Arabidopsis thaliana: one gene and its partner. The gene in region 1 interacts genetically with each later gene. Each region holds a gene or a part of one and is shown in the gene's direction. Other genes may lie near its edges.

Region 1 (4,972 bases):
CAAGTAACTGTTTAGGGCAACTATAAAACGAAGGAAGCTTGGTTTTGGAAGAGGATGAAGCATCAATTCTCTTGAAGCTTCTGAATAAGTTTCCAATACAACCTAAACTGATATTCCCTGCAGAGATGTTCCAGACAGATTCAAGTGGCAAAGCTAGAAAAGTGAAAAGAAGATCAATGAAGTCTGCTCCACATTCAACACAGAGAATCTTGATGTTCGGTTTTCTAACAAATGCTTTAAAAGTTATGGTTTGGCCTGGTACTGCTCCATCTCCAGATCCTTGCAAAGTTGGACTTAGAGGTATACGAGATCTGATCATTTGCAATGAGCTTTGCTTCTTCAGAAAAGTGTCGGTTAAAGGAAGGTCCGAAGTAAAGAAACATTCCAGCAAAGTCAGTACCTGTTGATGACACAAACAAACACTCAACAAAACATATATATTCAAACTACGAAGACCAACGTAAGATGATACAGTAAAAAATACCTCACTGACACCGACATGAAGAAGTATTTCACTGAGCTTGGAAGTATCTGCGTAGCCTAAGCCTCTGAGAGTATTCAAAACATTATCCATAGAGCTCGCCTCCACTTTCAGATCATCTGTTATAATGAAAGAAGAAGCTTTACAGCTGAAAAAAACTCCATCATTATCCTTTCTCAAAATCCTTCCTTGAACTTGCTCTTCTTCAAGTCCCTTAATCTCCCGATTCATCACTCTTTTGACAACCTTCGAGTCAACAATTTCTCCACATTCACATTCCTCCGTGTTCGAAATGCTATAATGATGTCTGCAGGATTCTTTAAAGCCTGAGCAAACAAAGTACTTAACAGCCCTAGTGTCATCAATTTTCAACTTCATATTTCTGAACTTCTCAAGATTCACACTCCTAGGATACAGTAGAACTTGCTTACATGCTTCTGTCTGAAAACTCTCAAGATCCATCTCTGAAACACTTTTGTAAAGATTGTTGAAACATCCTATACCCACTTGAGGCGATTTTTGATGTTTCTCAAGCAATCTAACAATAGTTCCCATGGGAAGAGCGAGAAAACTAAAGAGAACATCAACAAAATCCTTACCAGATTCAGCCAAGACAACCTTGTTCTTCAGTTCATCTATGAGAAGTCTCACACTTAGCTTTTTTGACTTTGTACTCTCAGCCATTGGAGATTGTTAACAGAGAACGCTAAGGAAGAGAAGAACAATACAAAGAGATAGTAAAGAGAAAACGTTTTGAAAGTTTAAACCAAGAGAAGAAGGATTGTGACTTAAATAGTGTTTTTAAAATTTAATAACTTTAAATGTTATGAAGTTCTATTTTAAAAGAAATTTTGATAACTTTAATAAAAAGAAAAATAAGAAATAAACAAAATAAATAAATGAAAGATAATAAACTATTGCTAGAGAGTTTTCTATAATCTTGTTGATTAGTTACTCCATAATCTTGTAAAGTTTATCAAACAATCTTTCTATTATTATTATTTTGGTAGAAAACAATTTTTCTATTTTAATGATACTTATTATTACTTTATTTTGAGAATAAAAGTGTAAAAAATCATAAATCAATAACAAAATAATTTAATTTATTAACAATTATAAATTCTTTTATTTTAGTTGGATAAACACAAAAATTTTCTTGATTTTATAAAATTTTAAATATGATAACTCCAAATTTATGAAGATTTTTTACAAAACAAAAACATTAAATTTTAGCAGAATTTTGATAAAATCTTAATGAATAACCACAGATTTTTCAATCACATATAAAATTATTTAAATTACAAACCAATAAACACCCCTAAACTTTTGAATTCCCCACGTCAACGTGACTGTGCATTCCACGTGGCGGATGTGGGCCCTATAGTTGGACCATGACTCGGACGGATGTTGAAATTCATTGTCGTTGCCAATTGCGTTTGTCTCACTGAAACTGTGAAAATTTTATCTCTTTTATAGATAAAGAATCTTGCTTTTTTCAGTTTTCAGTATGAAGAAGAATTGAAGAGAGTGTCCGAGGAAGGAGACCTTTGGTTTCAGTTTGTGAGTCTTGTTGTAATGGCTTTATCAATGGAGTTTGGGTTTTCAATTGGGTCATGCTTCAAGGCACCAAACCCACCTGTTCTAATCTCTGCAAGCCCTAATAAGATCAATTTCACGTTGAGAAGGAGAAAGAAAAGATTCTTACTTAGAGTCTCTGCTGTGTCGTATAAGGAATTCGCAGAGTCTGCTTTAGAAGAAACCAGGAAAAGGATCGTTCTTGAACCTTCACATCTCCAGGTATATGCAATTACATTTCGTTAGTGTAGTGGGAGGATTATATTTCTCATTGTTTCTTGCTGTGAATTTTGGGTAAATTGATTTGAGTTGTCATTAGGAACCAAACAAATAACTTTACTGTTATAGACTGCTTATATAAGTAAAAGTTCAGATTTTGTTTTTCTAATCACGAAACTGTTTCAGGAAAAGTATAGTAGCATGACAGGACTAGATGGTAAGACCGAACTTCAAATGCTTGCTTTTAAATCTTCAAAGATTAGACTCTTGAGGAGTATGGCAATAGAGAATGAGACAATGCAGGTTTAACTTCAGCAGTACAAACTGATTGCTTTAGTCCCATTTCCTTACTTTCAATTGATTGATTGTTTGTATCTTCGCTTAGGTCTTTGACTTTGCGGGTTTCATGGAGCCTGAGTATGATACTCCCATATTCTGTGCTAACTTTTTCACATCTACCAACGTTAACATAGTTGTATTGTAAGTTATCTTCTAGTTATGCTGGAGTTATCAGGTCTGTATTGTCCAAACTGATGTTCAATATTTTACTGTATGTTCTTCTTTAGGGACCTTAATCCTTTGCATCAGTTGACTGACCAGACGGATTACCAAGACAAGTATTATAACAAGATAATGTCCATATATCACAAATATGCTGAGGTGACCACAAGAATACACCAAATTACTCAATTGCAAGTAAACCTAATGCTGAGGTGTAAATGACTGATCTTGAGATTTATTTGCAGACTTTCCCATGGGGAGGGAAATTGACTGGTGAATCCATAAAGTTTTTCTCGCCTTTGGTGATGTGGACTAGGTTTTCGTCTAGCAAAGAAAAACATAAGGCTTTGTTCTCTGCGTTTCTAGAGTACTATCAGGTATATACTCAGCGGCCAAAAGCTAAGGTTTTATTGGAAACTTTGACTGAGAATCTATCATCTTCTTCCTACAGGCATGGCTTGAGATGACAATCCAAGTGAGGGAGGAGATGGAACCATCTCATGTGAGAGCCAATTGTGAAGCACAACACAAGTACCTGACATGGCGAGCACAAAAGGTGATTTCATTTCCTTTTGTGTAATTTGCATGTTTGAACAGACACTGTATCTGTATTGTTACAATGGATATTGATTTGGTGTTTGCAGGATCCTGGACATGGTCTTCTTAAAAGATTAGTAGGTGAAGCAAAGGCAAAGGTATAAAAGATTTGATCCCATTAGTGTCCCCATTATTAATTAGCTTGTGAAGATGTTGAAAATGATTTGAACAAAATCAGGAGCTGCTAAGGGATTTCCTGTTCAATGGGGTGGATGAGTTAGGCACAAAAACATTCATTGATTACTTTCCAGAGTACCAAACAGAAGATGGAACTGTAAGCGATAAACGAAGTATCATTGGGAAGTCATATGAAACTCGTCCATGGGATTTAACAGGACAATTTATCGGCTAACAATGATATATGTGAACAAGTCAGATTTCAGAGTCATCAACACAAGAGGACGTGAACTTAGGGAAGTAGGAATAAGAAAGAGCAGCATGAGGAGTCTCTCAGGTCTATCTGCATTTCAAGATGATTGTTTGAGTTACCATGCATTGTAGTTTTACAAGTGTAGCTCTCAGCCCTTCATCAAAATGAGAATCCTCGAGTATGATATGATTTTAATGAAAATGTATTCGTCTCTACCTAATCAACAGAGATTAACTTATAAAAATCCAGACATAAACATATCATAACTCTAACATCCAGACATAAACATCATGCGTTAGGTAACCAAGGCAGATGATGATTAGCGAGCTTAATAACTTAAACATCTAGACAAAAAGCATAACAAGTAAATAAAAAGGAAGGTTGCACAAGTTAAAAACACCCAAGAGGTTCGTCTGCGAGCTTTCTTCTACTCCAAAGTCATCTTTGGCTTCTTAATTATCTTCTTTTTTGCAGTCCTCTTTGGCTTCTTAATTATCTTCATTATGGCAGCCATCTTTGGCTTTTCATCTATAAAGTAACAACGAAAGTTTGTTACACTTGGTTAACAGGAAGCAAGAATCAACAAGATATTGACGTACCTGGGCGGCCACAAATGATGCGGCCTTTCTGGCGGCGGGGGTGGAAAATGTTTCTTCCATGGTAAGCAACAAACCGAACAACTGCTTTGCGCCCCCCTCCCATGTCGGTCCCACTAAGTTTTGGGGCCTTGTCTATTGCGTCTTCTCCCAGTAGATACACTATAGAGAAGCTGTAAAAAACCAGGACGACAAGTCTTTAGTATAAGTTTAGACTTTACTAACTTGGGGAAATATGGTTGGGGAGGAACAAGCCACAAACCTATCGAAAATCATGACATGATCAACCTTCCCACATGAAGAGAAAAGTTTACTCAACTCGCACTTGATATCAGACTCACTAAGCGAAGTGTCGTATCGTATCCTTCAACCTCTAACTCAACGCAACTGAAATAATTGGATTGCAGCAGATGATATAGTATAATTAGAAAACAATCTTAAAGATACAAATCTCGGAAATAAATTCCGTTTACTTGTCTTCTTCTTTCGGAAAGGGATCGGCCTCAGCATCGACAGTCCATCCTCCCATGTCACTTCCATTGAGTTGCAAGGCCTTGTCTGCTGTGCCTTCTCCCACAAAATAAATAAAAGCATGACTCCAGAGAGAAGAATTGCGAGTTTCGGGAATATGAA
Region 2 (6,517 bases), on another chromosome or scaffold:
ATTGATATTTGATAATCTTTACCAAAAATTCGCAATCTCCTTTAGAGTGAAAGCGAGTATAACCGTATGACCAAACTATTTTGAGTACCATTGGTAATTCCTTACCTTAAGCTTCCAGAGGTATTAGTGCTATATATTCATAGTGCCACCGAGTATTTTGAACTCCGAAATGATTTCTCACTATCCGACCACTCCCAATTATATAACATGCTTAGAATTATTCGTAAGATGGATCGTAGTTGCATTTTACGACACCATACAGGACAAGTCCATGATAGTTTGAGTTGGTGGATTTTGGAACCCCTGCAAATTTATTTTATACATAACAAAGGCCCCAATCCATTCCTTAGCATCACAACTTGGGACTTCTATCTTTTGAAGGATACATTCACTTGTTGGTTTTGGTAAATATGATTGTTTCTTTACTTCCGAATAAGCAATATATAAAAGTATCTAAAAACGGAAGTAACTTTTGATGATCCTAAAGGTTTTGTAATTGATACATGTCCAAAAACCTCTTAATATTCTTTCTCACAAACTGTTGATGGAGTTAACAAAGGGAGACAAGGTAATTGGGACAATATCAACGTTAGATACAGGACAAGTGAAAAATGTGGGGTTGATGTCTTCAGCTGCAGCATATCACCGTTGGTATATATTGTCAATTATTAGTCCTATGGATTTGAAACGTGTTTTAGTAAATAAGAGTGTCCAAGTGGGACATTTCCAATAACGTATCACAGCTCCTAGAGCTTTTGCTATGTTTCTCTAGGCCTGGGCCGCCTAGCCCACATTCCAAGCAAGGAAATGAATGGAGTTGGGCATCAAAATTTTGGAAGCATTTTTAAGACAAATTATCTTTTAAGTTTCCTTTTTTAAACATAAACTATATTTTAGGCTTTTTTAAGATAAATATTATTTGGATTTTCTTTCACTCATATTTTTGGATTTCAACTTAACAAAACATAGGGCGTGTCTATTTGACTCCACCTACCCACCCTACTGGAGTTCGATCCCACTAAATCGCGTTATCCCGCATAGTAGGGATTGACTATGGATCGGACTTTGTCGATCCAAAGATATCTAAGAAATTCAGAAAAGATTGTATAAAATTCAGAAACGATTTTACGAAATTCATGAAAAATGAGAAATACATGTTTTTTTTAATTTACGTCGGCATTAAAAACGTTGGACCGGCTCTGTGTTTCACCAAAGAAATTGTTTCAGTTTATGCATGATCTTCAACTTCCATATTCTTGTTTTCAATTCTGGAAATCCCTAACAGATCGGAGCTCTCCTCATTCAGTGAGTTGGAAGATTGCATGATTATATAATTACTCTTCACATCCACATATATTACATTATATTCCCCTATAATTTCATACAACCCTAGAAAAGAATCTTCAAGTAATCTAATCGTGTCGATGACTCCACTCATTTGCTAGAAAAGAAAAAACAAACAGACTTCATTTAGCTGAAAACAATCTTTTATTCAACATTACAAAGCACTGATCAAAGAACCTCTAACATGGTAATATATCTATGACATTTTACGTATCCTAAAAGAAAACAAAAAGTGATGTATTGGATGATGTTTTTTTTTTTTACTTTCTAGTTTCTTATTACAACGACAAAAAGAGTCCACGTCGTCACGCACTTTTCCGGTGGTGAAAAAAATGTCCAAATGGATTAAATCTATAATATCTCCAGAGAGATCCTCTCCTTCTATCTTTTTGGGCTCCACTTTTCCTATCTCTTTTTGCCCCTTTCCTCTCTCTGTTCACAAGTCATCTTCTTCCTTCCTCTGAATCTTGTTCCTTTTTGCTCTCTCTACTTGATTCACCCACTCTGTTTCTCGATTAGTACGTTGAAAACTCACTTTGGTTTTGTTTGATTCCTCTTTAGTCTGTTTTTCGATTTCGTTTTCTCTGATTGGTTTGGTGGTGAGATCTCTATCGTAGTTTGTCCTTTGGGTTAAGATATTTCATTTGATTGGTGGGTTTGTTTTATTGAAGCTTATTGTTGTGAAAGTTGGAGTCTTTCTCAGTTTTTAGGTTGAATTATTAAGAGAAAGGGAAGATTTTTGGTGTGAAGTTAGGTTATTTGGGGTTTGAGAAGTTTGCAAGTGAAAAAGGTTGTGAATTGTGAGTGATGAAGAGAGGGAAAGATGAGGAGAAGATATTGGAACCTATGTTTCCTCGGCTTCATGTGAATGATGCAGATAAAGGAGGGCCTAGAGCTCCTCCTAGAAACAAGATGGCTCTTTATGAGCAGCTTAGTATTCCTTCTCAGAGGTTTGGTGATCATGGAACGATGAATTCTCGTAGTAACAACACAAGCACTTTGGTTCATCCTGGACCATCTAGTCAGGTATTGTTTTGATTTTGATCATTGTATAGGCTCTTGATGTTATTAGTTGTATGAGTTTGGATGTTATATAGCCTGAAAGAGAAAGTAGGACATTGGTTGATCTATGTTTCAATTGTTATCAGATCATAGTATCTTCTTTTTGCTTATGGATTGAGCTTTTAGGATTGAATTCTCCTGTATATATGAGAGTCTTGTAGACACAAGTTTATCTAAGTGTGGTTTATTTCTTAAAACTAACATTCTTGTTGTGCCTGATTCTTTTTATGTTCTGAAGTTCGATGAAAGTTTCTTGTGATTGCCCTGAGCATTCAGACTATTGCAAGGACATGAGAAATAATCCTTTTTTACCCTCTTCAATGCAGCCTTGTGGTGTGGAAAGAAACTTATCTGTCCAGCATCTTGATTCTTCAGCCGCAAACCAAGCAACTGAGAAGTTTGTCTCCCAAATGTCCTTCATGGAAAATGTGAGATCTTCGGCACAGCATGATCAGAGGAAAATGGTGAGAGAGGAAGAAGATTTTGCAGTTCCAGTATATATTAACTCAAGAAGATCTCAGTCTCATGGCAGAACCAAGAGTGGTATTGAGAAGGAAAAACACACCCCAATGGTGGCACCTAGCTCTCATCACTCCATTCGATTTCAAGAAGTGAATCAGACAGGCTCAAAGCAAAACGTATGTTTGGCTACTTGTTCAAAACCTGAAGTTAGGGATCAGGTCAAGGCGAATGCAAGGTCAGGTGGCTTTGTAATCTCTTTAGATGTATCAGTCACAGAGGAGATTGATCTCGAAAAATCAGCATCAAGTCATGATAGAGTAAATGATTATAATGCTTCCTTGAGACAAGAGTCTAGAAATCGGTTATACCGAGATGGTGGCAAAACTCGTCTGAAGGACACTGATAATGGAGCTGAATCTCACTTGGCAACGGAAAATCATTCACAAGAGGGTCATGGCAGTCCTGAAGACATTGATAATGATCGTGAATACAGCAAAAGCAGAGCATGCGCCTCTCTGCAGCAGATAAATGAAGAGGCAAGTGATGACGTTTCTGATGATTCGATGGTGGATTCTATATCCAGCATAGATGTCTCTCCCGATGATGTTGTGGGTATATTAGGTCAAAAACGTTTCTGGAGAGCAAGGAAAGCCATTGCCAAGTAAGTTCACTAGAAATTTACAGTTTGGTTATTTATTCTCCGCTCTTTCTATTTATCTCCTTCTTTGATACCAACATTTTTTGCTTGAAAGAAGTTAATATTTAAGCATTGTTCCGTAGTCTTACTGAAGCTTTTTCCTCTGTTGTTTTTTGCTATTTTCATTGAGGACTGTGGTAGGGCATATTTCACTATCACCAAATTTCAAATTTCTAGAACACTCTCCTTCATATTTTTTTTCATGATTAATGCTGCAATTGATTGCTGATATACATATATGACTATAACTCAGTTTCATATTCTGTCTCATTTTGGGAGAAAGAGATTTCAGGTTTATGCTTGAGAAGTGATGGTTCTATAGTTGAGAGGCCCCTGATTCATCTAAAATGGTCCTATTATGTGTTTAGTTGTAGAGTCCTCGGTAGAATATTAACGCGTTTAACACGTTGGATCATGTTATAGCAGGGAGGGACATTCTCTGTTGACCTATATTGTGCAAGGTGCCCGCCGATGGCTTTATTACTATACCTTCTTTGCATCTGGTTGTTGGAACATGTCCCTGTCTCGGTTTGGTATTGCTTTTATTCTGCACTGTCGTCTTGGGCATTTTCCCTACTTGTCATTCAAGGGGTTGAACCAGGTAGGGAAATGTTTTTCCGAGGACCCCAGGATCTAAATTTTAGTTAACCATACGTAAAGTTAGTTTTGAGTCTTATGACGATGCAGAATTATAGTTTCTTCTTACTACTGCTTAAGAGGATCCTTAGTGTGGTTGTGAACTACAGAGTTTTTATGATTGTAGGCTTCATGACTTAACTTTTAAGGTTCAATGTACTCTAATCCATATGGTAAGGTATCGGATTCACGACCAATGCAAATAATAAGATTTTTATTTCTTGCTTCTTGTTAAATATCTGACATCTCATTTTGCAGAGGATAAGCTGCGCTGTAAGCTAGATTTCAATAAGCCCGTCCTTTGCATTGTTATCTATGCTTTAATATGTCATTGGACCCATTGATTTGGTTTTCTTCTATCTTTTTTGATTGGCTATGTATTCTTGTTTCTTTTTTCCTATCTCATTTCGATCGTATTGTTCCATTAGCTGTTCAACCTAAACTATGTCTCTCTTTGTTGAACTTTTGATGGATAATCTTCTTAATGTGACTCTGTTTCTCATTACAGTCAACAAAGAGTATTTGCTGTTCAACTATTTGAGTTGCACAGACTGATTAAGGTAAAGTCATTCAGAAACTTCTCATATGTTTCCATGAGTATTTGTTTCTTCTCGAGCTGAAACAAACCTCTTCAACTGTGTAATAATCAGGTTCAAAAACTTATTGCTGCATCACCGGATCTCTTGCTCGATGAGATCAGTTTTCTTGGAAAAGTTTCTGCTAAAAGCTATCCAGTGAAGAAGCTCCTTCCATCAGAATTTCTGGTAAAGCCTCCTCTACCACATGTTGTCGTCAAACAAAGGGGTGACTCGGAGAAGACTGACCAACATAAAATGGAAAGCTCAGCTGAGAACGTAGTTGGGAGGTTGTCAAATCAAGGTCATCATCAACAATCCAACTACATGCCTTTTGCAAACAACCCACCGGCTTCACCGGCTCCAAATGGATATTGCTTTCCTCCTCAGCCTCCTCCTTCAGGAAATCATCAGCAATGGTTGATCCCTGTAATGTCTCCCTCGGAAGGACTGATATACAAGCCTCACCCAGGTATGGCACACACGGGGCATTATGGAGGATATTATGGTCATTATATGCCTACACCAATGGTAATGCCTCAATATCACCCCGGCATGGGATTCCCACCTCCTGGTAATGGCTACTTCCCTCCATATGGAATGATGCCCACCATAATGAACCCATATTGTTCAAGCCAACAACAACAACAACAACAACCCAATGAGCAAATGAACCAGTTTGGACATCCTGGAAATCTTCAGAACACCCAACAACAACAACAGAGATCTGATAATGAACCTGCTCCACAGCAACAGCAACAGCCAACAAAGTCTTATCCGCGAGCAAGAAAGAGCAGGCAAGGGAGCACAGGAAGCAGTCCAAGTGGGCCACAGGGAATCTCTGGTAGCAAGTCCTTTCGGCCATTCGCAGCCGTTGATGAGGACAGCAACATCAACAATGCACCTGAGCAAACGATGACAACAACCACAACGACGACAAGAACAACTGTTACTCAGACAACAAGAGATGGGGGAGGAGTGACGAGAGTGATAAAGGTGGTACCTCACAACGCAAAGCTCGCGAGTGAGAATGCTGCCAGAATTTTCCAGTCAATACAAGAAGAACGTAAACGCTATGACTCCTCTAAGCCTTAATCCTCTCTATGCGTATTGTACTTGATATGTATTTTACAAAATTAGAAAAATTGTGATAGATGTTATCCTCAATATATGTACCATGTAAACGTATTATGGTGTAAGCCTCATTTATATGTGTTAATTTGTCTTAAAGCCTTGAAATCACTTGAACAACAAAGATTATTTGAAACAACTACTTACAATCACTGTTTCTTTTGTCTGTGACATCAAGAACTTAAGCATCCCATATTTACAACATCTTGTCTACATAGGAAGGAGTATAATTGGTAGTAAGATATTAATGGACATCGATTAATATAGGGCGGAGACGAAGATCAAGCACTGAATCCACGGTCAAGAGAGCTCCAAGGACTGGTAGGGATGGTGGGACAAGCCTGCATTGCTGCCTCCTCCATTTGCCTCATCTGAATCCCTGCGTTGCACATGTTTGCAATCGACCTCATGTGCTTTATTCCGTACTGAGACAACGATCCACAGTGCCTCTCGAAAGCTCTCACCTAACAACCACATAAAGGAGAATAAGAAAGTGATCATCACAAGAAGCTTAATCATCTAATGAGGACTGAAAGTGATTTTTTTCCGACATATCATATCGTATCTAACGTCCTGAGTCTTGCATCCTCTGGCCAATACCATTGTTTAA

What was found. Genes that interact genetically often act in the same process or in processes that back each other up.
Region 2: of HY2 (region 1) and ELF3, changing one enhances a phenotype caused by changing the other (phenotypic enhancement), as found in Arabidopsis thaliana (one study listed by BioGRID).

The regions. Positions count from the first base shown.
Region 1 is NC_003074.8:2,801,609-2,806,580, forward strand, and holds HY2 (phytochromobilin:ferredoxin oxidoreductase, chloroplast / phytochromobilin synthase (HY2)), read left to right. Parts: upstream 1-1,919; 5' UTR 1,920-2,056; coding exon 2,057-2,278; exon of another isoform or gene 2,279-2,461; coding exon 2,462-2,578; intron 2,579-2,660; coding exon 2,661-2,755; intron 2,756-2,841; coding exon 2,842-2,935; intron 2,936-3,021; coding exon 3,022-3,153; intron 3,154-3,227; coding exon 3,228-3,332; intron 3,333-3,420; coding exon 3,421-3,471; coding exon of another isoform or gene 3,472-3,477; exon of another isoform or gene 3,478-3,551; coding exon 3,552-3,725; 3' UTR 3,726-4,314; downstream 4,315-4,972. Other genes in the region: AT3G09140 (hypothetical protein (DUF674)), read right to left, coding at 1-1,165; AT3G09160 (RNA-binding (RRM/RBD/RNP motifs) family protein), read right to left, coding at 4,654-4,726, 4,813-4,972. UniProt on the Arabidopsis thaliana protein: Catalyzes the two-electron reduction of biliverdin IX-alpha to the tetrapyrrole chromophore phytochromobilin (PPhiB).
Region 2 is NC_003071.7:11,057,308-11,063,824, forward strand, and holds ELF3 (hydroxyproline-rich glycoprotein family protein), read left to right. Parts: upstream 1-1,636; 5' UTR 1,637-2,151; coding exon 2,152-2,370; intron 2,371-2,570; exon of another isoform or gene 2,571-2,732; coding exon 2,733-3,529; intron 3,530-4,709; coding exon 4,710-4,761; intron 4,762-4,851; coding exon 4,852-5,871; 3' UTR 5,872-6,017; downstream 6,018-6,517. Other genes in the region: ALPHA-VPE (alpha-vacuolar processing enzyme), read right to left, coding at 6,189-6,371. UniProt on the Arabidopsis thaliana protein: May be a transcription factor part of a circadian clock input pathway. Acts within a 'zeitnehmer' feedback loop and is involved in its own circadian regulation. Has no role in regulating circadian clock function in the dark.